Linked DNA regions of Saccharomyces cerevisiae S288C. The gene in region 1 interacts genetically with each later gene. Each region holds a gene or a part of one and is shown in the gene's direction. Other genes may lie near its edges. The genes, in order: ARP1, MYO2, BNI1 and TUB3.

What was found.
Region 2: mutations in ARP1 (region 1) and MYO2 together harm fitness more than expected from each alone (negative genetic interaction), as found in Saccharomyces cerevisiae (4 studies listed by BioGRID, with this or other methods).
Region 3: mutations in ARP1 (region 1) and BNI1 are lethal when combined (synthetic lethality), as found in Saccharomyces cerevisiae (7 studies listed by BioGRID, with this or other methods).
Region 4: mutations in ARP1 (region 1) and TUB3 together harm fitness more than expected from each alone (negative genetic interaction), as found in Saccharomyces cerevisiae (4 studies listed by BioGRID, with this or other methods).

The regions. Positions count from the first base shown.
Region 1 is NC_001140.6:361,585-367,309, reverse strand, and holds ARP1 (actin-related protein 1), read left to right. Parts: upstream 1-3,156; coding exon 3,157-4,311; downstream 4,312-5,725. Other genes in the region: YHR131C (uncharacterized protein), read left to right, coding at 1-1,970; YHR130C (uncharacterized protein), read left to right, coding at 2,010-2,345; FUR1 (uracil phosphoribosyltransferase), read right to left, coding at 4,545-5,195; YHR127W (uncharacterized protein), read right to left, coding at 5,666-5,725. UniProt on the Saccharomyces cerevisiae protein: Core component of the dynactin complex which assists cytoplasmic dynein by increasing its processivity and by regulation of its cargo binding.
Region 2 is NC_001147.6:921,801-930,945, forward strand, and holds MYO2 (myosin 2), read left to right. Parts: upstream 1-3,920; coding exon 3,921-8,645; downstream 8,646-9,145. Other genes in the region: PRO2 (glutamate-5-semialdehyde dehydrogenase), read right to left, coding at 1-1,105; FRT1 (Frt1p), read right to left, coding at 1,432-3,240; SNAP receptor SNC2, read right to left, coding at 8,934-9,145. UniProt on the Saccharomyces cerevisiae protein: Myosin heavy chain that is required for the cell cycle-regulated transport of various organelles and proteins for their segregation.
Region 3 is NC_001146.8:127,012-137,018, reverse strand, and holds BNI1 (formin BNI1), read left to right. Parts: upstream 1-1,635; coding exon 1,636-7,497; downstream 7,498-10,007. Other genes in the region: arginine permease ALP1, read left to right, coding at 1-1,079; guanine nucleotide exchange factor SEC2, read left to right, coding at 7,935-10,007. UniProt on the Saccharomyces cerevisiae protein: Required for the assembly of F-actin structures, such as actin cables and stress fibers. Nucleates actin filaments. Binds to the barbed end of the actin filament and acts as a leaky capper, slowing both polymerization and depolymerization.
Region 4 is NC_001145.3:21,548-26,639, reverse strand, and holds TUB3 (alpha-tubulin TUB3), read left to right. Parts: upstream 1-2,956; coding exon 2,957-2,981; exon of another isoform or gene 2,982-3,076; intron 3,077-3,279; coding exon 3,280-4,592; downstream 4,593-5,092. Other genes in the region: YML122C (uncharacterized protein), read left to right, coding at 222-602; phosphate transporter PHO84, read left to right, coding at 840-2,603; PGA3 (cytochrome-b5 reductase), read left to right, coding at 4,941-5,092. UniProt on the Saccharomyces cerevisiae protein: Tubulin is the major constituent of microtubules, a cylinder consisting of laterally associated linear protofilaments composed of alpha- and beta-tubulin heterodimers.

The DNA.
Region 1 (5,725 bases):
TTCATAGTGACTTGGTCCATCGCAGTGATCAATCACAACATCTGCATCACCGTCTCTTCACTCTACCGACGAGATCAGCTTCGGAGTTTAAAAAAGCAGATCAAGAACGGATCTCTTATAGAGTGAAACGTGATCGATCGCGGTATTTAACCGATGAAGCTCTTTACAAGTCTTTCACTTTACAAAATGCAAGATTTGGGATACCAACGGATTATACCAAGAAGAGTTTTGTGTTAAGAATGTCTTGTGAAAGCGAACAGTTTTTATTACGGTTCTCTCATATAGATGATATGATTGACTGGTCTATGTACCTATCAATCGGGATATCTGTGTCTTTGGACTTGGAAGTCAGGGAGTATCCAGATTATCGAATTGTTCCCAGAAGAAGGAGAAGGAGAAGGAGGAGAAGGAGGAGAAGAAGACACACTCATAGAAGTGAGAGTTCGATGGGGTCTTTTTCGCAGAGATTCATTCGTTCGAATTCCAGACCGGACTTAATCCAAAGATATAGTACCGGGTCTAGCACTAATAACAATACAACTATCAGGGAACGCTCGAATACTTTCACAGCTGGTCTACTAGATCATTACTGCACTGGCCTCTCAAAGACGCCTACAGAGGCATTGATATCTTCGGCTGCATCAGGAGAATCCAGTGATAACAGTACCCTGGGATCAACAAGGTCATTATCTGGTTGCTCAGCTTCCCGTTCGATTGCATCTAGAAGTTTAAAATTTAAAATTAAGAACTTTTTCAGGCCTAAAAATTCTTCACGCACAGAAAAGCTTCACAGACTCAGGTCCAACTCAAGTAACTTAAATAGTGTTATTGAAACGGAAGAAGATGATGAACACCATGAATCAAGCGGGGGAGATCATCCAGAGCCTGGTGTTCCAGTAAATACCACCATTAAAGTAGAGCGTCCAATGCACAGAAATAGAGCTATTTCCATGCCCCAAAGACAGTCATTGAGGCGTGCAATTAGCGAGGAGGTTGTCCCCATCAAATTTCCAAATAGCACAGTGGGTGAATCAGTTCATTCACCCTCTCCTATTGAGCATCTTTCCGTTGATGGCTGCGAGATTATGCTGCAATCACAAAATGCGGTTATGAAAGAGGAATTACGGAGTGTTGCGTCGAATTTGGTAGCCAATGAAAGGGATGAGGCATCTATTAGACCTAAACCTCAAAGCTCTTCGATATACCTATCAGGATTAGCTCCTAATGGGGAATCCGCCACAGATTTATCCCAAAGCAGTAGGTCGTTATGTCTCACAAACCGTGACGCTGAAATCAATGACGATGAAAGCGCTACTGAGACCGATGAGGACGAAAATGACGGTGAAACCGATGAATATGCTGGCGATGATACTAATGATGATACTGATGACAGTAATATTGGTTATGCTTATGGCAGTGAAAGTGATTATTCATGTTTAATTGAAGAACGAATAAGAAATCGAAGGCGAGCATCTTCTACTCTAAGTTGCTTCTCCAATATACCTTACGGAACGGATGATATTAAATGGAAACCAGCTATTAAGGAAATTTCAAGAAGGCGTTATTTGAGGGATTCTCTGAAGTGCATCAAACCATTTCTAGATAGTAACGACTGTTTGGGTAAGGTTATCTATATTCCAGTTTCGGGACCAACCTTTGAAACAAGTAATAAAATTCACTTTAGCAACCGCCAGAGCTTACAGAAGCAGAAGAATCATTTTTTAAAAGGCTTCATCGTGGGACCTACGGCGTTGATAGAACTTAATTGTAAAAATAAGAATGCAATTGTTGGAACAACAAAGGACGCTGAAGATCATGGGGAGGACGACGGTGACGGTGATGATGGTGAGGATGATGATGACGACGACGACGATGATGATGATGATGACGACGACGAAGACGACGACGATGATGATGATGATGATGATGACGACGACGATGACGATGATGATGGACAGATTACTGCATAAGCTGTGATGCAGTAATCTTGTTTTTGCAGAATTAATATCATGACTAAAAGTATATATATTATCATCGGATATATGCTACATGATGAGGAGTTTTTCTATTTCTTTTTTATTTCATTCTATACACTTTGGATCGTGTTTTTTCTTTTGCACTTGAGTTTCTTTTCAACATTATCATTCGGTATATTTCACGATTTTGACACCGATGTTTACATAAAAGTGGGTAATTATATTTTGCATTTTCTCGAATTGAGTAAAAATAGTAACCTTTTAAAGAATTCTTCAGAAATGTTAAAGCATTTCCGATTGGCATCATTGATGTATATGTACGTATATACTCAGATGATTTGCCCCTCGTTACTTGGCATCAGGAATTAGCAAGGGCTGTAAAAAATAAGTTTAAATATATATAAATGGTTGCGAACTAAGACAGTATTGTTTTCAACTATTACTTTGTCATTGACTAGTCTATACAAACTAATGATTTTCTACTAGGTCTTACTTCGATTTCTCGACACCGTACTCCAAGAGCTAAAGCTTTCAATACGTATGGATTGCTTCGTTGCTCAGAAAGGTTAACATTAATCATTTTAAGGTTTTTGTTTATAGACAGTACTTTATTTTCGCTTCATTTTTCCAGTTTATATTTCAATTTAACAAAGGCAATGCCTCTAATTTCAAACAAGCAACATAATACAGTATTTATTGATCAACGTTTGATTAGAAGTTGAATTTTGAATGGGTATCGTCTGGTAATTCCAAAGAATAAAAGAAATACCTGTTTTACCATGATAAACAGTGTTTATTATACCACGTTAAAAATCATTTCTTGAAGGTAACGCTTTCATCAACCTATAATAAGACTACAGAAAAAAGCTCATAAAAGAATGCTAAGTAGCATAATGTTCTGAACAAGAGCTCAAAGCAAAGGACACAGTACACCTGTGTGACGGTGAGTTTCCTATTGCCTTCTCTTTTTCCGTTTGTATTAATCTTTTCAAGAAAAAGTTCATTTCCAAAGTGGCCATTTTCGCGATGCACATCAATAATGATAAACACCTTTATTGAATAATAGCGAAGCAAATAGCAGATATTCCCAATAAAACAGCAAATTAATAAAAGGGCATAGACCAAGGAGTACATGCTAATGCTATACCACGAATTGAGGAATTAGAAAGAAAGTTAGCCAATGGACCAGCTAAGTGACAGCTATGCTTTGTACAATCAACCGGTAGTGATCGACAATGGTTCTGGGATCATAAAAGCAGGATTTAGTGGTGAGGAAAGGCCTAAAGCACTGGAATATTGTCTCGTAGGAAATACCAAATATGATAAAGTTATGCTCGAAGGTCTGCAAGGAGATACATTTATTGGAAACAATGCCCAAAAACTGCGTGGATTATTAAAATTACGATACCCCATAAAGCACGGCGTGGTGGAAGATTGGGATTCTATGGAACTAATATGGTCATATGTGTTAAATGAAGTCCTACAGTTGCAAAATATAGGTGAGCATCCTTTATTAATTACGGAAGCCCCGATGAATCCTTTGAAGAATAGAGAGCAGATGGCTCAAGTATTGTTCGAGACCTTTGACGTATCGGCTTTGTACGTTTCAAACCCTGCTGTTCTGTCATTATATGCTAGTGGGAGAACTACAGGTTGTGTAGTTGACTGTGGTGAAGGATACTGTAGCACTGTTCCCATATATGACGGCTTTGCATTACCTGCGTCTATGATGAGGATGGATATTGGAGGAGCAGATATCACAGAGCAGTTACAATTTCAACTACGGAAATCAGCTGGTGTTTCGTTGTTTTCCAGCAGTGAACGAGAGATTGTTCGCACGATGAAAGAGAAAGTTTGTTATTTGGCCAAGAATATTAAAAAGGAAGAGGAGAAATACTTACAAGGTACTCAAGATTTAATCTCGACATTCAAATTGCCCGACGGGAGGTGTATAGAGGTGGGGAATGATCGATATCGTGCTCCAGAAATATTATTTTCACCTCAAATCATCGGCTTAGGGTACGATGGATTATCTGATATGTGCATGCAATCTATTTGGAAAGTCGATCTGGATTTAAGGAAACCTTTACTGTCATCGATAATCCTAAGTGGCGGAACTACAACGCTTAAAGGCTTTGGAGACCGAATGCTATGGGATTTGGAGGCATTAACCAAAGGAACATCCAAGATAAAGATTATAGCCCCTTCAGAAAGAAAATATACTACATGGATTGGTGGTTCTATTTTAACGGGGTTATCTACCTTTCAAAGACTTTGGACCAAAAAGTCAGATTGGCTAGAGGACAGTACCCGTGTTTATTCGAACCTAATGTAAGAAACAGAGTCGTTAGATTTTTCAAGCATATTTGTTATAAATAGCCATTGATACGTTTATATTATTTTTACAAAAAAAGGTAATTAAACATGCATGAACAACAAAATTGATAGTAGAAGAGACGGCAACAAAGGTTTAAAACGAGAAAGGAAATTTAAAACAGTAGAAACCAAAAGTTGATATGCGGCTTCAGCCGTTCTGAACCTTCAAGATGGTGTTCGGGTGTGATTTATTTAAACACAGTAGTATCTGTCACCAAAGTCACCCAACCCTGGAACTAGATACTTGTTTTCATCTAGACCTCTGTCGAGGGCACCAGTAACAATTCTGACCTCTGGGAAGGCGGCATGGTATTTTTCAATCCCTTCCTTACTACAGATTAGGTTTAAGAAGTAAATTCTCTCTGGCTTAACACCTCTCTTAATCAAGACTTCTGTAGCCATGATAGCACTACCACCGGTGGCCAGCATTGGGTCTAATAGGAAGACATACCTTTCAGATATATCCTCTGGTAATTTTTCGTAGAATAACTTTGGTAAAGCAGTCTCCTCGTCCCTTTGAATTAAAATTTTACCGATACGCACAGACCTACAACAGTCTCTTAATCCTTGCTCCATCGATTCACCAGCTCTGACAATGGAAACACCACAGATTTTACCCATGAATGAGACACCTTCGAAGTTTTCGTTGGTGTCAGTTTCCACAATTTGCTTTTGCACAGGTAGATGGTTCAAACCTTCTTCAACCAACAATCTGATGATTCTATCGGAGTAGAAAATGAAATCAGGTCTAGTTGTATTCTTATTTCTGATGATGGTGTACAAACCCAGCAATTGGTTTGTTTGAGGTAGCAAGTAGACGTTCTTAAATGGTTCCGAAGACATTTTTTGCAGATTTCTAGGTTTGCTAACGAAAGACCCTTTGTTTGGATAATATATAAGATATGTAAGGTACAAGAATGGAGAAGCCAAAAAGAATAACGGGTTCATGGTTCAAGAAGAAATGAAGCTAGTATTGGAAGAGGATTCTTACCAATATATATATCTCTTTTGAGGCAGCTTTGAAAGAAGAAGTGAAAAAAAAAAAAATTTTGAAAAAAAAGACGGAAAGGGAAAAGTCCGCCGGAGATAATTACAACTGTCGATTTTTTATGCGATGAGATAAGCTTATAGAAAAACCGGCCTTTCTGTTATTGCAATGACCTGCTTTATAGTTTATGAAATAATTACATAGGTCGATTACTAGTAGAATGAGGTATTGTTATTAGGCAGTCATGAGAAAGCATGTCTTCAAAAAAATAGTTTGTGGCGGGGATTTTGCTGATTAAATACCTTGTGAGTGTCGTTGACAAACTCTAATACGACAAGTGGGACGATTCATCAGATGCAATCACCACTTGGATGCGCCTTCCATC
Region 2 (9,145 bases), on another chromosome or scaffold:
CAGCGTTTGCTTTATTTTCCGTTACAATAGCGTCGGTATGTCTCGAAGAGTGTGTATTTATATGTTGAATGGCCGATTCTGTAGATGTAACAAACTTGGCAGCCAAATCCAAGGATAAAAATTCCTTATCAAAATCTTGCTCCTCATCAGCATCAACGGTTTTGCATTGAATTGCTTCTGTCAATTTCCCTAACTCATTCAGTTTATCAAAATACGCAGTTTTCAAATCTTTTGTAGCGTGGATAGTCACTCCGCCTTCCAAAGTTAAGTTTTCCAGAACTTCCCACCACTTAGAGAATTTTGGGTTAATCAACAACGTTTCCATAGCGTTGCAACCAGCTGGGTAGTTAGTCTTTGCATCCAAACTAATTCTTTTTGCCTTAATCAAATCTGCGTCTTCATCCAAGTAAATTGAGCAGATACCATCCGCATGACCCAACACGGGAATTTTTGTAGTGTCCTTGATTTTTCTGACTAAGGCATTGGAACCACGAGGAACAACTAAGTCGATGTACTCATCTTGATCCAACAAGTCGGAAACATCCTGTCTGGTTTCGATCAATTGCACAGAGCCCACAGGAACACCAGTCTCACTTTGGAATTGTGCAATGGTGTCGTTAACGATCTTTGCCATTTCTCTGAACGTGTTCACAGACTCTTTACCACCCTTCAAAATTGCAGCATTACCAGACTTGATACTCAATGCGGTAATATTGGCAATAACTTCTGGACGGGATTCAAAGATAACTAACAAAACGCCGACTGGAGCGGTTACTTGGTACAACGTCAAGCCATCATCTAATTCCCTGGCCATTTTAACCTTGCCAACAGGGTCTTCTAGTTCGGCTACATCCTTAATACCTTGTAACATAACTTCAAATTTGTCCCCTTTAAATAGGTCGAGACGTTTCAATAAAGAATCCGCTAGGCCAGTCTCTTTGGCAACAGCTAAATCGATTTTATTCGCTTCTTCAATGGCATGCGCATTAGCCTTCAGGGCATCGTGAATTTTGTATAAAATATCTGATCTGCCCTCGTTTGAGATGGTTTTCAAAATATTCCCTGCTTTACGGGCATTTTTGGCTATTTGTTGTGAACTGGACATCTTTATATTGGTTGCCTGTGCTCCTTTTTGTTCTTACTCTTTTTACCAATACGCTTTTACTTTTTCTCTTCTTTTCTTGAAGCTTTTTGAAAAACGTCTGTCGACTTTTTTCATTTTTTGACTCATTGACCCAACGCCACAAATGAACAAAGAAATTTGGCCACTGCATCGCCTTTCCTGCCCCATTGATTCAAATGTCCATGCGCGTTGATTGATGTGTGATATATATATATATATATATGTATATAGATGTATATTATTATGTTCAGAGGTGATTTTATCTTTGTACGCGTACCATTTTTGTAAAGTGACCTTGTTTTGACTTTTTAACGAGTAAAAAAACGAGTTAACAAATTCTTGACGTAAACGATAAAGCCGCCCATCAAAAGAAATGCAATAATGTCAATGATGAAATACCTATACAGGTAGATGGATTTCGTGTTGTTCTTCGATTTATTTAACACGTTTTTCAGCTCTATCAAACTATCCATTTCCCTTAGAGAGGACTTTTGTTTATTTAATCTCTCTTGGCAAACCTCCATTCTCCTTTCCAATCCTTGTAATTGCGCTACACTTTCTTCGACTGATATCTTTAATTCATTAATAAACGCCTTATTGTCATCCTCGTCAAAGTCTGATTTCAACTTGACCAAGAATTGATTAATCACCGTGGTTCGCAAGGTGGTCATTTCGTCTAATAAAAGGGTTAACTCTCCTGATAGAAGATCATACTTTTGGATAGTTTTTTGAACGTTGTTTTCATTCTTGATTATTGTATCGTTTAAATTTCTTCTCATCTCATTCTCGATCTTCACTAGAAGTGTCGAAATATGATTTTGATAATAATTCAATTCATCAATGTTATCATTCAAATTTGAGTTGCTCTTCGAAATAGAGTTTGAGCTAGAATCAGGAGTGGCTGCGGAGCCATTATTATTGTTCACCTTCAGTACACTCTTGAACCTAGTGGAAGAATCCGCTGACTTCTGCCTATTCAGTAAATACTTAAATCCCAAGGTATCGGTGCCAGGTGCAGTGGAAGAGCCTGATGAATTCCTTGGTTTCCTCTGGTTAGTCAAATATCCTAAAGAGGGATATACACCGTTTAAACTTCTTCTATCCACATCTTCTGAATCTGATGAGGTGGATGACGTGGACGAAAAGGCTGATGACGACAAAAATGCTGGTACATTAGAACGGGAATACAGAAATGACGAAGAATCGTTGACAGCAGAACCGTCCAAATCATGATAAAACAAAGATGTGCTGGGGGAGGAGTTTACGGAAATTTGTGATTGAGAATGCATATTCCCTAATTTAATGCCGCCAGCGGTGGATGAGGGCTCAAACACTACCGACTCCCTCAACGTATCAAATGGGTCTGAATTTCCCAAAGAAGGCTGTAAAAATTGGTTAACCAATCGTTTCCTCTCATAATCAAAAGAACCAGCGGATGATCTACGTTGCGAAGAGGAGGAACCCTGTATTTGATTGAAAGCTAGCCCAGTATGACAGCTTTGGAAAACGGACATCGAACCACGACGTCCTTTACTAAGGCAAGACAATCTGGCCCTATTAGAGTTGAAGTCGGTTTTCGGCGACACTCTGAATGGATCATCCAAACTGGATGCCCCACTATATGATCTACTGTGTCGACCTACTCTGTTATCGATGTCATCTTCAAACAAAAAATCGCTAAACTTCCCGGTTTTGGTCGATCCCAGGACAGGTAAGCTAGTCATTTCCAATGAACGTTGTCGTACCCCATGTGCCCTATTCTTTGTCACATATAAATGTCTCCTATCATGCAGCGCAGGCTGTTCCTCCTTTTCTTTCTCCCTTTCCTTTTGTAACAACGATCCCAAGTTTACTTCAGTGCTTGGTCTTGGGACCACCGGATTATCATTCACTGCTATGACAGGTAATCTAGAAGATGATTTCGAAAAGTGTGCAACATTTGTTTTAGCTTGTAGAGGTTCCGGCTGCGGCTGCGGCTGTAGACCGGATTCTTTTATCTTCACTGCGTCGCCACTGGAAGCCCTTCTTCCCTTACAAAAGCCTCTTGGGAATGAAGGAGGTAACAGGGTACAGTTCCTCGATCCGGGATTCTCCATCCGGTCAATTAGCAAGTTCATTTTCACTTAATGTATCAACTATAACTTAAACCAAAAAAAAAAAAAAATTTAGATATGGGAAGGTCTTTTCCTCCACAAATAGGGTGAACTATCCGACCCAGATCAATAAATAAATAGGCTCGAAGACGCCTCAGAACTCCGGTCACTGGTTTGTCTTGTTGATATACGATGTGCCAAGCGCCGTTTCTCGATGCTTATCTGGTTTAGTTTACGCTGTTAAAACCAAAACCCCAACAGATTTTCGACCCTAACGTATGTAGGGCTAAAATAGATATTGAGTAGGTTACAATTAATTATTGGCAATTGCACCTAGTGACACATTTACGAAAACGTAGGGCAAAAACTATTACCCGACCCAGGGCTATTTTGTGATTTTTTCCTTTTTTTTGTTTATGATCGCGCTTCTCGAAAAGCCAAATATCAGAAATCCCAAACACGCCTTCATTTGATACGATTCGTAGCCTGCGTTTCAGAGATCTATCAACTTTGCAAGGCCAATCAGAGAACAAAAAAGTCTCGCAAAGTCATTTCACTTTTCTCGCTTGAAATTATTCGTTCGATTTCTGGCTGCTTGCTTGTTTTTTGTTTTCTAAGGTACTATTCGACACCATTCCATTGGACAGCGATACTTATACCATTGTACATATAGGACATAAAAACAGCAGATATTACAGCGTATAATGTCTTTTGAAGTGGGTACACGATGCTGGTATCCCCATAAAGAATTGGGCTGGATTGGGGCGGAAGTAATCAAAAATGAGTTCAACGACGGCAAGTACCACCTGGAGTTACAATTGGAAGACGATGAAATCGTGTCCGTGGACACAAAAGACTTGAATAACGATAAGGACCAATCTCTACCGCTTCTTAGAAACCCTCCCATTTTGGAAGCAACGGAAGATTTGACCTCTTTATCTTACTTGAATGAGCCAGCTGTTTTACATGCCATCAAACAGCGCTATTCTCAATTGAATATCTACACATACTCGGGTATTGTTCTGATTGCTACAAACCCTTTTGATCGTGTCGACCAGCTTTATACACAAGACATGATCCAAGCATATGCGGGAAAGCGCAGAGGTGAACTGGAACCTCACTTGTTTGCCATTGCCGAAGAAGCGTATAGGTTGATGAAAAATGACAAACAAAATCAAACCATTGTGGTAAGTGGTGAATCTGGTGCTGGAAAAACGGTTTCTGCCAAGTATATTATGCGTTATTTTGCTTCTGTAGAAGAGGAAAATTCCGCTACTGTACAACATCAAGTGGAAATGTCGGAAACAGAACAAAAGATTCTAGCTACAAACCCTATCATGGAAGCATTTGGTAATGCTAAGACTACCAGAAATGACAATTCTTCCAGATTTGGTAAGTATCTAGAAATTTTATTCGATAAGGACACATCTATTATTGGAGCAAGGATCCGCACATACTTGTTGGAACGGTCCAGATTAGTTTACCAGCCGCCAATTGAGAGAAACTACCACATATTTTATCAATTAATGGCTGGATTACCAGCTCAAACCAAGGAGGAATTGCATCTTACCGATGCCTCAGATTACTTCTACATGAACCAAGGCGGTGACACCAAGATCAACGGTATTGATGATGCCAAAGAATACAAAATTACAGTAGATGCATTGACATTAGTCGGAATCACCAAGGAAACTCAACACCAAATATTTAAGATCTTGGCCGCACTTCTGCATATCGGTAACATAGAAATTAAAAAAACTAGAAATGATGCATCACTATCAGCTGATGAGCCAAACCTGAAACTGGCGTGCGAATTGCTGGGAATTGATGCCTACAACTTTGCCAAATGGGTCACCAAAAAGCAGATCATTACAAGGTCAGAGAAAATTGTTTCGAATCTAAATTATAGTCAAGCTCTGGTTGCCAAAGATTCCGTGGCTAAGTTTATTTATTCCGCCCTTTTCGATTGGCTTGTGGAAAATATCAACACCGTGTTATGCAACCCGGCTGTGAACGACCAAATTAGCTCATTTATTGGTGTTCTGGATATTTATGGGTTTGAACATTTTGAAAAAAATTCATTTGAACAATTTTGTATTAACTATGCCAACGAAAAACTACAACAAGAGTTCAACCAACATGTTTTCAAATTAGAGCAAGAAGAATACGTTAAAGAAGAAATTGAATGGTCTTTTATAGAGTTTAATGATAATCAACCTTGTATTGATCTGATTGAAAACAAGTTGGGTATTTTATCACTGCTTGACGAAGAAAGTAGGTTACCTGCTGGTTCCGACGAATCTTGGACCCAAAAACTTTATCAAACTTTGGATAAATCTCCTACGAACAAAGTATTTTCTAAACCAAGATTCGGGCAAACTAAATTTATCGTGAGCCATTATGCTCTAGATGTCGCTTATGATGTGGAAGGATTTATTGAAAAAAATAGAGACACCGTATCTGACGGACATTTGGAAGTGTTGAAGGCTTCTACCAACGAGACACTAATAAATATCTTAGAGGGATTAGAAAAAGCTGCCAAAAAACTGGAAGAAGCGAAAAAGCTTGAATTAGAGCAGGCTGGCAGTAAAAAGCCAGGTCCGATAAGAACGGTTAACAGGAAACCCACTTTAGGTTCCATGTTTAAGCAATCTTTGATTGAACTAATGAATACCATCAACTCAACTAATGTTCATTATATTCGTTGTATAAAGCCTAATGCAGATAAAGAAGCTTGGCAATTTGATAATTTGATGGTGTTGTCTCAACTCAGAGCCTGTGGTGTTTTGGAAACTATTAGAATATCTTGTGCTGGGTTTCCTTCTAGGTGGACTTTTGAAGAATTTGTATTAAGATATTACATCTTGATACCACATGAGCAGTGGGACCTAATCTTCAAAAAAAAGGAAACTACAGAAGAAGATATCATATCAGTGGTTAAAATGATCCTAGATGCTACTGTAAAGGACAAATCCAAGTACCAGATTGGTAATACAAAAATTTTCTTCAAAGCAGGTATGCTTGCATATCTGGAAAAACTTAGAAGCAATAAGATGCATAATTCAATTGTTATGATCCAGAAGAAAATTAGAGCTAAATATTACCGTAAGCAGTATTTGCAAATATCTCAGGCCATCAAGTATTTGCAGAACAACATCAAAGGTTTCATCATTCGTCAACGCGTTAATGATGAAATGAAAGTTAACTGTGCAACTTTATTACAGGCCGCTTACAGGGGTCATTCCATCCGTGCCAATGTGTTCAGCGTATTGAGAACAATTACAAATTTGCAAAAGAAAATTAGAAAGGAACTAAAACAAAGACAACTGAAACAAGAACATGAATATAATGCTGCGGTAACTATTCAAAGTAAAGTTAGGACCTTTGAGCCGAGATCGAGATTTTTACGCACTAAAAAAGACACTGTTGTTGTCCAATCTTTGATCAGAAGAAGAGCTGCTCAAAGGAAATTGAAACAATTGAAGGCAGACGCTAAATCAGTTAATCATCTGAAAGAAGTGAGCTATAAATTAGAGAATAAAGTGATTGAACTGACGCAGAATCTAGCATCCAAGGTCAAAGAAAATAAAGAAATGACAGAAAGAATTAAAGAACTACAGGTTCAAGTGGAAGAAAGTGCCAAGTTACAAGAGACATTAGAAAATATGAAAAAAGAGCACTTAATAGATATTGATAATCAGAAATCTAAGGATATGGAATTACAAAAAACTATTGAGAACAATTTGCAATCCACTGAACAAACTCTAAAGGACGCTCAATTAGAGTTGGAGGACATGGTTAAACAACATGATGAATTGAAAGAAGAATCTAAAAAGCAACTTGAAGAATTAGAGCAAACAAAGAAAACATTGGTTGAATACCAGACATTAAACGGAGACTTGCAAAACGAAGTTAAATCTTTAAAGGAAGAAATTGCTAGGTTACAAACTGCCATGTCGCTGGGCACCGTTACTACTAGTGTACTACCTCAAACACCATTAAAGGATGTAATGGGAGGCGGTGCTTCAAATTTCAACAATATGATGCTTGAGAATTCCGACTTATCTCCTAATGATTTGAATCTAAAGTCTAGATCTACTCCATCGTCCGGAAACAACCACATTGATTCATTGAGTGTCGATCGCGAAAATGGTGTCAATGCTACACAAATCAATGAAGAGTTATACAGGTTATTGGAGGACACTGAAATTTTGAATCAAGAAATCACGGAAGGCCTGTTAAAGGGATTCGAAGTACCGGATGCTGGTGTAGCTATTCAACTAAGTAAAAGAGACGTTGTTTATCCGGCTAGAATACTGATTATAGTTTTAAGTGAAATGTGGAGATTTGGGCTGACCAAGCAAAGTGAAAGCTTTCTTGCCCAAGTATTGACTACAATTCAAAAAGTTGTCACTCAATTGAAGGGTAACGATTTAATTCCAAGCGGTGTATTCTGGTTAGCAAACGTTAGAGAGTTATACTCATTTGTGGTGTTTGCTCTAAACTCTATTTTAACCGAAGAAACGTTCAAAAACGGCATGACCGATGAGGAGTATAAGGAGTATGTTTCATTGGTCACAGAACTAAAGGATGATTTCGAAGCTCTAAGTTATAATATATATAACATTTGGCTGAAGAAATTGCAGAAGCAATTGCAAAAAAAGGCCATCAATGCTGTGGTCATCTCCGAATCATTACCAGGTTTCAGCGCGGGAGAAACCAGCGGGTTTTTGAACAAAATTTTTGCTAACACTGAAGAATATACAATGGACGACATTTTGACCTTTTTCAACAGCATATACTGGTGCATGAAATCTTTTCATATTGAGAATGAAGTGTTCCATGCTGTAGTCACAACCTTATTGAATTATGTGGATGCAATTTGTTTTAACGAATTAATCATGAAACGTAATTTCTTGTCGTGGAAAAGGGGTCTTCAATTGAACTACAACGTTACTAGATTAGAGGAATGGTGCAAGACGCATGGCTTGACAGATGGTACTGAGTGCTTACAACATTTGATTCAGACCGCTAAGCTACTGCAAGTCCGTAAGTATACTATCGAAGACATTGATATCTTAAGAGGAATTTGTTATTCGCTAACACCTGCACAATTGCAAAAATTGATTTCACAATACCAGGTGGCAGACTATGAGTCTCCAATTCCACAGGAAATCTTAAGATACGTTGCTGATATAGTTAAGAAAGAAGCTGCGTTATCTTCATCAGGTAATGATTCTAAGGGTCACGAGCATAGCAGCAGTATATTTATCACTCCAGAAACAGGTCCATTTACTGACCCATTCAGTTTGATAAAGACAAGAAAATTTGACCAAGTAGAAGCCTATATACCAGCGTGGTTATCCTTGCCCTCAACTAAGAGAATAGTTGACCTTGTTGCCCAACAAGTCGTTCAAGACGGCCACTAAAACTGATGGCGCGAGAAACAAAATTGTACATGAATGCTAAAAAAAGAAATGACAAAAAAAGAGAAAAAAAAAAATGAAACTACATAGTTAATTAATAATAGAAGTATTTGTCAATAGTATGATAATGAAATCGATATTATGGAAGATATTAACCGCGCGCCGTATTAGTGTACACTATATTAAACTACATTTTGCTTCTTACTGAATTTATAAATTATGATTATATTATTATTACTATTATGACTACTGTATATATTTTTTAGAATTAGCATCGGGAACCGATGAGCGTTAGCTGAAATGGACGACGATAGGAACGATAATTACCACTAGTAAAATAATAACAACTAAGAATAAACACATTCTCATTTTTAGATCTTTCCACCACATTTGCTTTCTGACCCTGTTGGCGCCTCTCTTGAATCCTTGTGCGGAGATAGCCAAGTTATCAGCTTTGTCCTCAATGGATGTTAGCCTTTCACCACGTTCAGCAACCTTGTTGA
Region 3 (10,007 bases), on another chromosome or scaffold:
TAAAGGTCATCGCGTTGCTCGGTTTTATCATTTTCTCATTCTGTGTTGTGTGTGGTGCGGGACAATCTGATGGACCCATCGGTTTCAGGTACTGGAGAAATCCAGGAGCCTGGGGGCCTGGCATTATCTCCAGTGATAAAAATGAGGGCCGTTTTCTCGGATGGGTTTCCTCTTTGATTAATGCTGCATTTACGTACCAAGGTACTGAACTGGTTGGGATAACCGCTGGTGAAGCGGCTAACCCAAGAAAAGCTCTCCCGAGGGCAATAAAGAAAGTTGTAGTGAGGATTCTAGTCTTTTACATTCTTTCACTATTTTTCATTGGCCTTTTGGTCCCATATAATGACCCAAAGTTGGATAGTGACGGTATATTTGTCTCTTCATCGCCCTTTATGATAAGCATTGAGAATTCAGGCACAAAAGTTCTCCCAGATATATTTAACGCGGTCGTGCTAATCACCATTCTTTCCGCAGGTAACTCTAATGTGTACATTGGCTCAAGAGTACTGTATAGTCTGTCTAAAAATAGCTTGGCGCCAAGGTTCTTGTCTAACGTGACCAGAGGTGGTGTTCCATACTTTTCTGTTCTATCTACATCCGTGTTCGGATTTTTGGCTTTCTTAGAGGTTTCTGCAGGCAGCGGCAAGGCCTTTAACTGGTTATTGAACATAACTGGTGTGGCCGGTTTCTTTGCCTGGCTTTTGATTTCATTTTCTCATATCCGTTTCATGCAAGCCATAAGGAAACGTGGTATATCGAGGGATGACTTACCTTATAAAGCTCAAATGATGCCTTTTTTGGCATATTATGCATCTTTTTTCATCGCTCTAATTGTTCTGATCCAGGGCTTCACCGCTTTCGCACCTACTTTTCAGCCTATAGACTTTGTCGCTGCATATATATCAATATTCCTATTTTTGGCCATATGGTTATCATTCCAAGTTTGGTTTAAGTGCCGCTTACTCTGGAAGCTGCAGGATATCGATATCGATTCTGACCGCCGGCAAATAGAGGAGTTGGTATGGATAGAGCCAGAATGTAAAACAAGGTGGCAACGAGTTTGGGATGTCCTTTCATAATTTTAGAATAATACTCCATACCACACACACACATATATATGTATGTATGTATGTATGTATGTATATGTATATTTGCCAAATCCTTGCTCAACTCTTTTCCTGTGATTATATGATTACTCCCTAGTTGTTTCGTTGTTAGCCGCCGAAAGTCATCGCCCGTAATTTCCATGGCTTACCCGACATCGGTTAGAGGAAGTTTTTGACGTGGAAGAGGGAAAGAAAGAAAAAACAGATGTGGAAAACTAGAATCCCTTTTAAGAACAATAGCACGGACCCTTCCTACAGATAAGAGGACACTGACGGCTGTGTGTTAATTATTTTCGTATTAAGCATAAAATTGGACAGTGGCATTCTTTTCTTCACCCTTCACGTTTTTTATACGTCTCATACAGTTGGGCCATTTTTTACTTTTTTTTTTGCCATTTGTATCTATCTTCTGTATTGAGGAGAAACATTTTAACTCAAGCCTAGTTAAATTCTAAATACACGCCACATAAAGAAGGCACCTGAACCTTTTCAACAAACGAGAAGCAAGAAAGGAAGAGAAGGAAAGGAAATGTTGAAGAATTCAGGCTCCAAACATTCGAACTCAAAGGAAAGTCATTCGAATTCGAGTTCTGGTATATTCCAAAATTTGAAGCGTTTGGCTAACTCAAATGCAACGAATAGCAATACGGGTTCTCCGACCTATGCATCCCAACAACAGCACTCTCCAGTGGGAAACGAAGTGTCCACTTCACCTGCATCTTCGTCATCTTTTAGAAAACTGAATGCACCTTCTAGGTCTACATCTACTGAGGCGAGGCCGTTGAATAAAAAATCGACATTAAACACACAAAACTTGTCTCAATATATGAATGGTAAATTAAGTGGAGATGTTCCCGTATCCTCACAGCACGCAAGGTCGCATTCAATGCAATCGAAATATTCGTATTCCAAGAGGAATTCTTCACAGGCGTCCAATAAGCTAACAAGGCAGCATACCGGGCAAAGTCACTCCGCATCAAGTCTTCTCTCTCAAGGTTCGCTAACTAACTTGAGCAAATTCACTACACCCGATGGTAAAATTTATTTAGAAATGCCGTCGGACCCATACGAGGTGGAAGTTTTGTTTGAAGATATTATGTATAAAAGAAATATTTTTCAGTCTTTATCAGAGGACAAACAAGAAGCTCTGATGGGCTACAGCATTGAGAAGAAATGGCTGATTGTTAAGCAGGATTTACAAAATGAGCTAAAAAAAATGCGAGCAAACACTACATCTTCTTCCACTGCCTCCAGAACTTCGATGGCGTCGGACCATCATCCTATCCTTACGGCTAATTCATCTCTTTCGTCTCCCAAATCTGTTTTGATGACAAGCGCCTCTTCTCCCACCTCAACTGTATACAGCAACAGTTTAAATCATTCTACTACTCTTTCATCGGTAGGTACGTCAACCTCGAAGGGGAAAAAATTAGTGAGCGGGAGTTTGAAAAAGCAGCCATCTCTAAACAATATTTATAGAGGTGGGGCTGAGAACAATACGAGTGCATCTACTCTTCCAGGAGACAGAACAAACAGACCACCGATACATTATGTGCAACGAATCCTGGCAGACAAACTTACTAGCGATGAGATGAAAGATTTATGGGTAACTTTAAGAACTGAACAGTTAGACTGGGTAGACGCTTTTATAGACCATCAGGGTCACATTGCTATGGCTAATGTACTAATGAACTCTATTTATAAGACTGCACCCCGAGAAAACTTGACTAAAGAATTATTAGAGAAAGAAAATTCATTTTTTAAATGCTTCAGAGTCTTATCAATGCTCTCACAAGGTTTGTATGAGTTCAGTACACATAGGTTAATGACTGATACTGTTGCAGAAGGTTTATTCTCTACGAAACTGGCCACAAGGAAAATGGCCACTGAAATTTTTGTTTGTATGCTAGAAAAAAAAAATAAAAGCAGATTCGAAGCAGTTCTTACCTCACTAGATAAAAAGTTTAGGATAGGGCAAAATCTTCATATGATTCAAAACTTCAAAAAAATGCCCCAGTATTTCTCTCATTTAACCTTGGAAAGTCATTTGAAAATTATTCAAGCCTGGTTATTTGCCGTTGAACAAACTTTAGATGGAAGAGGAAAAATGGGTTCCTTAGTAGGCGCGTCGGATGAATTTAAAAATGGTGGGGGTGAAAATGCGATTCTAGAATACTGCCAATGGACAATGGTTTTTATCAATCATTTATGCTCTTGCTCTGATAACATAAATCAAAGAATGCTATTAAGGACGAAACTAGAAAATTGTGGAATTTTACGAATTATGAACAAAATAAAACTGCTAGATTACGACAAGGTAATTGACCAAATTGAGTTATATGACAATAATAAACTTGACGATTTTAACGTTAAATTAGAGGCCAACAATAAGGCTTTTAATGTAGATTTACACGATCCACTATCATTATTAAAAAACCTTTGGGATATATGTAAAGGTACCGAGAATGAAAAGCTTTTAGTATCTTTAGTTCAACATCTTTTCCTTTCTAGTTCAAAGTTAATAGAAGAAAACCAAAATTCCTCTAAACTTACTAAGCAATTGAAACTTATGGATTCTTTGGTGACTAATGTTAGTGTTGCCTCAACTTCTGATGAAGAAACTAATATGAATATGGCTATCCAGCGGCTTTACGATGCCATGCAGACTGATGAAGTTGCACGTCGAGCTATATTAGAAAGTAGAGCTCTAACGAAGAAATTGGAAGAAATTCAGGCAGAAAGGGATTCTTTAAGTGAAAAGTTAAGCAAGGCGGAGCACGGACTCGTTGGACAGTTAGAAGATGAGTTGCATGAGAGAGATCGTATTTTAGCTAAGAATCAGAGAGTTATGCAGCAGCTGGAAGCTGAGTTAGAAGAGTTGAAAAAGAAGCATCTTTTGGAAAAGCATCAGCAAGAGGTAGAATTGAGAAAAATGTTGACTATATTGAATTCGAGGCCTGAAGAAAGCTTCAATAAGAATGAAGGCACCAGAGGTATGAACTCGAGCCTAAATTCTTCAGAGAAAGCGAATATCCAAAAGGTGTTACAGGACGGATTATCAAGAGCAAAAAAGGATTACAAGGATGATTCAAAAAAATTCGGCATGACACTTCAACCTAATAAGAGATTAAAAATGTTAAGAATGCAAATGGAAAATATTGAAAATGAAGCCAGGCAACTAGAGATGACAAATTTTGCTGAATTTGAGAAAGATCGTCTTGAACCTCCAATACATATTAAGAAGCCCAAAGTGAAGAAGATGAAAAATAAGGATAGGAAACCTTTAGTCAAGCCTCAAGAGGCGGACGTAAATAAACTAAATGACCTAAGGCGGGCTTTGGCTGAAATCCAAATGGAAAGTAATGATATTTCCAAATTTAACGTCGAAGAACGTGTTAATGAGCTATTTAATGAAAAGAAATCTCTGGCTTTAAAGAGACTGAAAGAACTAGAAACAAAATACAAAGGATTTGGTATTGACTTTAATGTCGACGAGATTATGGACAGTCCAAAGAAAAATACTGGGGACGTGGAAACGGAAGAAGACGCTAACTATGCCAGTCTTGACCCTAAGACATATCAGAAAAAGTTAGACGAGATTAATAGAATAACGGACCAGTTGTTAGATATTCAGACTCAAACCGAACACGAAATACAAGTAGAAGAAGATGGGGAAAGCGATCTTTCCTCTTCAAGTTCTGATGATGAAAGTGAGGAAATATACCAAGACGCATCTCCAACTCAAGAACTAAGGAGCGAACACTCAGAGCTATCTTCAGGATCAGGTCCTGGGTCTTTTCTCGATGCCTTATCTCAAAAATATGGTACTGGTCAAAATGTTACTGCATCGGCTGCTTTTGGAGAGAACAATAACGGTTCGGGTATTGGACCTCTACATAGTAAAGTTGAAAAGACCTTTATGAACAGACTCAGAAAATCCACCGTGTCTTCTGCTCCATATTTAGAGGAGTTAACACAGAAGGTAAATAAAGTTGAACCATATGAACAAAATGAAGATGAAGGTCTAGATAAAAAATCTTTACCGGAAAACAGCACGGCAAGTGCAGCTTCCGCCTTTGACAAAGCTGAGAAAGACATGAGACAACATGTGGAAAACGGAAAGCAAGGGCGTGTGGTAAATCATGAAGAAGATAAAACAGCGGATTTCAGCGCTGTGAGTAAACTGAATAATACAGATGGCGCAGAAGATCTCTCTACTCAATCATCTGTACTCTCCTCACAGCCGCCACCGCCTCCTCCTCCTCCTCCTCCAGTTCCCGCCAAATTGTTCGGTGAATCGTTGGAGAAAGAGAAAAAGTCGGAAGACGACACTGTCAAGCAAGAAACTACTGGGGATTCTCCTGCTCCTCCCCCTCCACCACCACCACCTCCTCCTCCACCCATGGCATTGTTCGGCAAACCCAAGGGAGAAACACCACCACCGCCGCCGCTACCATCTGTATTATCTTCATCTACTGATGGCGTCATTCCGCCAGCTCCACCTATGATGCCGGCATCGCAAATCAAATCAGCTGTAACATCACCATTACTTCCTCAATCGCCCTCATTATTTGAAAAGTATCCTCGTCCACACAAGAAATTAAAGCAACTGCATTGGGAAAAATTAGATTGTACTGATAATTCTATTTGGGGTACAGGTAAAGCTGAGAAGTTCGCAGATGACTTATACGAAAAGGGTGTTCTTGCTGATTTAGAAAAGGCCTTTGCCGCTAGGGAAATTAAATCATTAGCAAGCAAGCGCAAGGAAGATCTGCAGAAAATTACATTTTTATCCAGGGATATTTCTCAACAGTTTGGTATCAATTTGCATATGTATTCATCACTTTCGGTTGCCGATCTGGTGAAAAAGATTCTAAACTGCGATAGGGATTTTTTGCAAACACCGAGTGTTGTTGAGTTTTTGTCAAAATCTGAAATAATTGAAGTTTCTGTTAATTTAGCTAGGAATTACGCCCCGTATTCGACAGACTGGGAGGGCGTGAGGAATCTCGAAGATGCCAAGCCCCCTGAAAAAGATCCAAACGATTTACAGAGGGCTGACCAAATTTATTTGCAATTGATGGTTAATCTAGAATCATACTGGGGTTCACGTATGAGAGCTCTCACAGTGGTTACTTCGTATGAAAGAGAATATAATGAGTTATTGGCAAAGTTAAGAAAAGTCGACAAAGCTGTTAGCGCGCTTCAAGAATCAGATAACTTGCGCAATGTCTTTAATGTTATCTTAGCAGTTGGTAATTTCATGAACGACACTTCTAAGCAGGCACAAGGTTTCAAACTTTCAACCTTGCAGAGGTTGACGTTTATCAAGGATACTACCAATAGCATGACCTTTCTAAATTACGTCGAAAAAATTGTCAGGTTAAATTATCCAAGCTTCAATGACTTTCTAAGTGAATTAGAACCTGTATTGGATGTCGTGAAAGTTTCCATTGAGCAGTTAGTTAACGACTGTAAGGACTTTAGCCAATCGATTGTAAACGTAGAGCGTTCAGTTGAAATTGGTAATTTAAGCGATTCCTCAAAGTTTCATCCATTAGATAAAGTTTTGATAAAAACATTGCCCGTGTTACCGGAAGCCAGAAAAAAGGGGGACTTGTTAGAAGACGAAGTTAAGCTGACTATCATGGAATTTGAAAGTCTGATGCATACGTACGGTGAAGATTCTGGTGATAAGTTTGCAAAAATCTCATTCTTTAAGAAATTTGCAGATTTTATAAATGAATACAAAAAAGCTCAAGCGCAAAATCTAGCCGCGGAAGAAGAAGAAAGACTTTATATAAAGCATAAGAAAATAGTGGAAGAACAGCAAAAAAGGGCACAAGAAAAGGAAAAACAAAAAGAGAACAGCAATTCGCCTTCATCTGAAGGAAATGAAGAGGATGAAGCAGAAGATAGGCGCGCTGTTATGGATAAACTATTAGAACAGTTGAAAAATGCAGGTCCTGCTAAAAGTGACCCATCTTCCGCCAGAAAGAGAGCCCTAGTGAGGAAAAAATATCTTTCTGAAAAAGACAACGCTCCACAATTACTCAACGATTTGGATACTGAAGAAGGGTCTATTCTTTATTCTCCAGAAGCTATGGACCCTACTGCCGATACAGTGATTCACGCTGAATCACCCACTCCGCTTGCCACAAGGGGTGTTATGAATACCTCTGAAGATTTACCATCGCCATCCAAGACATCTGCGCTGGAAGATCAAGAGGAAATTAGTGACAGAGCTAGAATGTTATTAAAGGAGCTAAGAGGCTCTGACACACCAGTAAAGCAAAATTCCATACTCGATGAACATCTAGAAAAATTGAGGGCCCGCAAGGAAAGATCCATAGGTGAGGCTAGCACAGGTAACAGGCTAAGTTTCAAATAAAATATTAAACCAAAAAATTATGACAACAGTAATACCAAAACAAACATCCAAACAAGCACTAGTACAAAGAAATAGTCACGAATCATTAAATCACATATATATATATAATTTTAATGTTTATAGATCACTTATGATACACTTTACATTCATCTTTACTCAAATGATCTCTACTATTGCATTTTTGAAATAATTCCTTTTATTATGTGCCATTGTTTCCATGTGACTACCCGGAACTTGTATTTCGCGTTCGCTGAAGCACCTTTAAAACATGGCTCTCGTTTACCTAAGTGACAAGCACAGTGATTCGTGCAATAATATCATTTGTCACTTGCAGCTGTAGCAACGTTGATTTCCATCCAAAAGTTGTAGAAAATTTTGACCTTTAGTTCACTGGGATATATTTTCCTTTACTAGCTGTGTTTGATAAAGGTTTCAATATGGATGCTTCTGAGGAAGCAAAAAGAGTATCAATACAGGTTACATCCCTGTCTACGCAATTGATCGAGAGCGTGGATAAACAGTCACACTTAGAAGAACAGCTTAATAAATCCTTAAAAACAATAGCCAGCCAGAAGGCAGCAATTGAAAACTATAATCAGTTGAAAGAAGATTACAACACTTTAAAAAGAGAATTGTCAGACAGAGATGACGAAGTGAAAAGATTGCGTGAAGATATAGCCAAAGAAAATGAGCTTCGAACTAAAGCTGAAGAGGAAGCGGATAAACTAAATAAAGAAGTTGAGGATCTGACTGCTTCCCTCTTTGATGAGGCTAATAATATGGTTGCTGATGCTAGAAAGGAGAAATATGCTATCGAAATCTTAAATAAGAGACTCACTGAACAACTGCGTGAAAAGGACACATTACTGGATACTTTGACCCTACAGCTCAAGAATCTGAAAAAAGTGATGCATAGTTTAGATAATGAAAGCACAGTCACAAATAATTCGAACAGATATTCCACAATATTGAGTGATTCAGCAACTTCTTCTAGCACTTCTTTGAATAAAGTTCCAACTTCATATTCTCTTGCTTCCCAAGATATTTATAGCGGAATTGTGTACTCGCCAAGCATTTCATCTATTCGTTATGATATAAGCCTTTACAATGAATTTCTAAAATTTGTCGCTGCACTACCCCGTTGTGAAAACATAAAGGCAACTTCAACCGAATCAAAGTTAATACGAAGATTGGTAAATGATGAAATCCAGCCTATACTTAAGATTGATAATGCTTCAGGCATCGGCTGGTTGGTTAAAAAAACCCTACTTTCCTTGATTATAGATGGTTTGGTGGTCGTGGAACCCCTAAGCGGCGTTAATGCAACCTACCAAATTGGCTACAACTCAAGTAGCCCTGCAAAGCAAGCCACTTCGAATATGCCAAAAATGTTCAAGTTTCCCTTAGATTCACCTCCAGTTGCAGTGCACGCCGCATGTTCCTTTTGTGGAGAATCTAGAGATGACATTATCGAACACGCAAGGATGTATATATTGAAAACGTTGCACAAGACTGACGACGGTAAAGAACAAGTTACGAATACGTATCCCTTGTGTCATTGGTGTTTGCTAAAGTTGCGGCAGACATGTGAAATCTTTGCTTTCCTGAGATCATTGAAGGTAGGCGCATGGCATTTAGAAAAGCTAACGACGCAGAACATTACCAAGGAAGATTTGGAAAAATTCTCTGAAGTAACGAAGCATACCAAAAGAGACGGCAGGGTTTCTTCTCAAGACAAAAAAACCAAACGTTTAAGTTTTATGGCAGGACTTGGTATCAATTCTTCAACAAAAAATAAGCCAAAGATGGAGATTTTTTCTTCTGAAACAAATGCAAAGCCAGGACAACCTACCACTAATATTCAAAGAGCATGGCTGCAATTGTGTAAATTGCGTTGTATACTTCATTGGACTCATATTGGCATATGGGCAGTGGATGATTCAATTTCTTCAAAAATTGGACCGTTAGTTGAGGATGACAGCGATGAGGATCAAAACGATGCTATATCGGTTCGCTTGCAGGACAAAGCTCTTTGGAAGCAGGACGCAAAAAGACCTTTTTCTTCATCTAGCGCAGAAGAAAGTCAAAAGAGCGACGCTTTTGACTTTGAAAGTGGAGATATGGAAAATGAAATTACGGGTGAATCTTCAAGTGATGAATCCTCTTCAGATGGGTCTTCCACAGATAATTCAACCGCAGATAGTTCATCAGAAGATGAATCTTCTCTAGCAGATTCTACTACAAGTAGCGCAGATTCTAGTTCACCAGAGAGTATAGACAACGGTGAAGGTGATGACACGGTAACGAAAGATGACAAAAGTAGCATTAAGTCGGCAAATAATAATGAAGAAAACAGCGATTGCGGAGATAAAAAAGGTCGTTCTATAATAAAGAAAAAGGCTCCTCAACGCAAGATACAAAAGAAGAAGTTACTCCAAGATTTGGATGATTTAGAAGAGCAATTTAGAGAAGAAAGCGCAATTGATCAGACTGAATTTGAAAACGCTGAG
Region 4 (5,092 bases), on another chromosome or scaffold:
TCGGTATACTCTGCCTAATAAACCTTAATTTTCTTACAAAAAAAAAAAGATTCAATAAAAAAAGAAATGAGATCAAAAAAAAAAAAAATTAAAAAAAAAAAGAAACTAATTTATCAGCCGCTCGTTTATCAACCGTTATTACCAAATTATGAATAAAAAAACCATATTATTATGAAAAGACACAACCGGAAGGGGAGATCACAGACCTTGACCAAGAAAACATGCCAAGAAATGACAGCAATCAGTATTACGCACGTTGGTGCTGTTATAGGCGCCCTATACGTGCAGCATTTGCTCGTAAGGGCCCTTTCAACTCATCTAGCGGCTATGAAGAAAATGTTGCCCGGCTGAAAAACACCCGTTCCTCTCACTGCCGCACCGCCCGATGCCAATTTAATAGTTCCACGTGGACGTGTTATTTCCAGCACGTGGGGCGGAAATTAGCGACGGCAATTGATTATGGTTCGCCGCAGTCCATCGAAATCAGTGAGATCGGTGCAGTTATGCACCAAATGTCGTGTGAAAGGCTTTCCTTATCCCTCTTCTCCCGTTTTGCCTGCTTATTAGCTAGATTAAAAACGTGCGTATTACTCATTAATTAACCGACCTCATCTATGAGCTAATTATTATTCCTTTTTGGCAGCATGATGCAACCACATTGCACACCGGTAATGCCAACTTAGATCCACTTACTATTGTGGCTCGTATACGTATATATATAAGCTCATCCTCATCTCTTGTATAAAGTAAAGTTCTAAGTTCACTTCTAAATTTTATCTTTCCTCATCTCGTAGATCACCAGGGCACACAACAAACAAAACTCCACGAATACAATCCAAATGAGTTCCGTCAATAAAGATACTATTCATGTTGCTGAAAGAAGTCTTCATAAAGAACACCTTACCGAAGGTGGTAACATGGCCTTCCACAACCATTTGAATGATTTTGCTCATATTGAAGATCCTCTGGAAAGAAGAAGATTGGCTTTGGAGTCCATCGATGACGAAGGTTTCGGTTGGCAACAAGTTAAGACCATCTCCATTGCTGGTGTTGGTTTCTTGACAGATTCTTATGATATTTTTGCCATTAATTTGGGTATCACTATGATGTCCTACGTTTACTGGCACGGTAGTATGCCAGGTCCAAGTCAAACCTTGTTGAAGGTTTCCACTTCTGTTGGTACTGTTATTGGTCAATTTGGTTTTGGTACTTTAGCTGATATTGTTGGTCGTAAGAGAATTTATGGTATGGAACTTATTATCATGATTGTCTGTACCATTCTGCAAACCACTGTTGCTCATTCTCCTGCTATTAACTTCGTTGCTGTTTTAACATTCTACCGTATTGTCATGGGTATTGGTATCGGTGGTGACTACCCACTATCTTCTATTATTACTTCTGAATTTGCCACTACCAAATGGAGAGGTGCCATCATGGGTGCTGTCTTTGCTAACCAAGCTTGGGGTCAAATCTCCGGTGGTATCATCGCTCTTATCTTGGTTGCTGCTTACAAGGGCGAACTAGAATACGCAAACTCTGGTGCTGAATGTGATGCTAGATGTCAAAAGGCTTGTGACCAAATGTGGAGAATCCTTATTGGGTTGGGTACCGTTCTAGGGTTGGCATGTTTGTATTTCAGATTAACTATTCCAGAATCTCCTAGATATCAATTGGATGTTAACGCTAAGTTGGAACTTGCTGCTGCCGCACAAGAACAAGATGGCGAAAAGAAAATTCACGACACCAGTGATGAAGACATGGCAATTAACGGTTTGGAAAGAGCTTCTACTGCCGTCGAATCTCTTGACAATCATCCTCCAAAGGCTTCGTTCAAAGATTTCTGCAGACATTTTGGTCAATGGAAGTACGGTAAGATTTTGCTAGGTACTGCTGGTTCATGGTTTACCTTAGATGTTGCTTTCTACGGGTTGAGTTTAAACAGTGCTGTTATTCTGCAAACCATCGGTTATGCCGGTTCCAAAAACGTTTACAAGAAACTGTATGATACTGCTGTCGGTAATCTGATTTTGATTTGTGCTGGTTCATTACCTGGTTACTGGGTATCCGTCTTCACTGTCGATATAATCGGTAGAAAACCAATTCAATTAGCCGGTTTCATCATCTTGACCGCTTTGTTCTGTGTCATCGGTTTCGCATACCATAAACTTGGTGACCATGGTCTGTTGGCTCTTTACGTCATTTGTCAATTCTTCCAAAACTTCGGTCCAAACACAACCACCTTTATTGTTCCTGGTGAGTGTTTCCCAACTCGTTACAGATCTACTGCTCATGGTATTTCTGCTGCATCTGGTAAGGTCGGTGCCATTATTGCACAAACCGCTTTGGGTACTCTAATCGACCATAACTGTGCTAGAGACGGTAAGCCAACCAACTGTTGGTTACCTCACGTCATGGAAATTTTCGCCTTATTCATGTTGTTGGGTATCTTCACAACCTTGTTGATCCCAGAAACTAAGAGAAAGACTCTAGAAGAAATTAACGAGCTATACCACGATGAAATCGATCCTGCTACGCTAAACTTCAGAAACAAGAATAATGACATTGAATCTTCCAGCCCATCTCAACTTCAACATGAAGCATAAAAGCCTCAAAGATGCACTAAAACTTGTAAACTAGAACAAATAATACAAAAACATTTTTATAAACTTATTATCAAACCCCTTACATAATCTATAAATACTGTCAGGTTACATATTTATTCGATAATTTCTTTTAATTTCATTATTTCCTCACATCTCTCTGCCATCCTGTTGGCTGGTGCCAGAGCAGAGCATATCGTCCTTTCTTTTTTAGTTCCAGACGTTACCCGACATATCATTTCTCGAGCCTCTGGAAACCACGAAACGTTTTACAAATTGCACATCTAAAAGAAATATAAACACAGATCAGGTATCTCATAAAGTACATTAATCGACTAAGCAAGCGACTTGAGACAATGAGAGAGGTCATTAGTATTAATGGTATGTATGCGTTCCTTTTTTTGTTCAATATTCGCAACCAATGGCACCTGTGGGACAGGGAAAGAAGTTTGATCTGATCTGGTTTGATTCATTCCCAATTGGTCACCATCTGGTTGATTTACGGCAAATAATTTGACTTGTACCAGCACAGTTTACTAACAGTTTCTTTTTCTCCATTTTTTCTGGGCATACTCGGACGAAAAAGCTCATAATTGACCTCATTACATGGGGAGTGATTTTTGTGTCTTCTTCTTCGGAGGATTGCTGGAACTTTTGTTATTTTTCTTTTTTACAACAGTTGGTCAAGCAGGTTGTCAAATAGGTAATGCATGCTGGGAATTGTACTCCCTAGAGCATGGCATCAAGGAAGACGGCCATTTGGAGGATGGCTTGTCAAAACCTAAGGGAGGTGAAGAAGGATTTTCTACATTCTTCCATGAAACGGGGTACGGAAAATTCGTCCCAAGAGCAATCTACGTGGATTTAGAGCCCAATGTTATCGATGAAGTACGTACAGGACGTTTCAAGGAGCTTTTCCATCCAGAACAATTGATTAACGGTAAGGAAGATGCCGCCAATAACTACGCAAGAGGCCATTATACAGTGGGTAGAGAAATAGTGGATGAAGTTGAAGAAAGAATTAGAAAGATGGCCGACCAATGTGACGGTTTACAAGGGTTCTTGTTCACCCACTCCCTCGGTGGTGGAACTGGTTCCGGTTTAGGTTCCCTGTTATTAGAAAACTTATCGTATGAATACGGGAAGAAATCCAAATTGGAATTCGCCGTTTATCCTGCGCCTCAATTGTCTACTTCCGTCGTGGAACCTTACAACACGGTTTTAACCACGCATACCACCCTGGAACACGCAGACTGTACGTTTATGGTCGATAACGAAGCCATTTACGATATATGCAAGAGGAACTTGGGAATTTCTAGACCAAGCTTCAGCAACTTGAACGGGTTGATTGCCCAAGTGATATCATCTGTTACAGCCTCTTTGAGGTTCGATGGTTCATTAAACGTGGATTTGAACGAATTTCAGACCAACTTGGTACCATATCCAAGAATTCATTTCCCTTTGGTTTCCTACGCACCCATCTTGTCCAAGAAGAGGGCCACCCATGAATCCAACTCCGTGTCAGAAATCACAAACGCTTGTTTCGAACCGGGCAATCAAATGGTTAAGTGTGACCCAACAAAGGGGAAGTACATGGCTAACTGTTTGTTATACAGAGGTGACGTGGTGACCAGAGATGTCCAAAGAGCCGTCGAACAGGTGAAGAATAAAAAAACAGTACAAATGGTGGATTGGTGTCCAACAGGATTTAAGATTGGTATTTGTTATGAGCCACCAAGTGTGATACCAAGTTCCGAATTAGCCAATGTGGATAGAGCTGTCTGCATGCTATCCAACACCACTGCCATCGCGGACGCTTGGAAGAGAATCGATCAGAAATTCGACCTGATGTATGCCAAACGTGCTTTCGTCCATTGGTATGTCGGTGAAGGTATGGAAGAAGGTGAGTTCACCGAAGCTAGAGAAGATTTAGCTGCCTTAGAAAGAGATTATATTGAAGTGGGTGCCGATTCTTACGCTGAGGAGTTCTAAGAAAGTGGCTCTGATCCCGATACCCACTTATAGATTTATATTTACTTAATGTCCATATGTATATACATATATATATATATATATATATACGCTTATATATATATATGCATATTCTATCCAAATAAAGATACCTCTAATTATCGAATTATTTTTCACTTACCTTTAGGTGTACAGTTAGAACAATAGCTTATTAAATTTATTTTTTTCCCTATGTTCCGCGGAATATTGAAAAATTTGAAAATATTCTAAGACAAAAATACCCATAAAAAACAAAGAGTTTTGAGCTCATCTCGTTGCCACCCAAACTTATCACAAAAAAGGAAGCACTCCAAGAACCGCGTGAAGAAAATGTCAAAAGAAGACATAGAAGGAACTAACATTCTAGACGAACCTGTCCACGGGATCTATATTCCTGCCGCGCTATTCGTTGTTGGTGTTGCAATCACCACGTATATGTCTGGTGAATTGAAAATCCTGTGGAGTTTACCCATTCTCTTCAT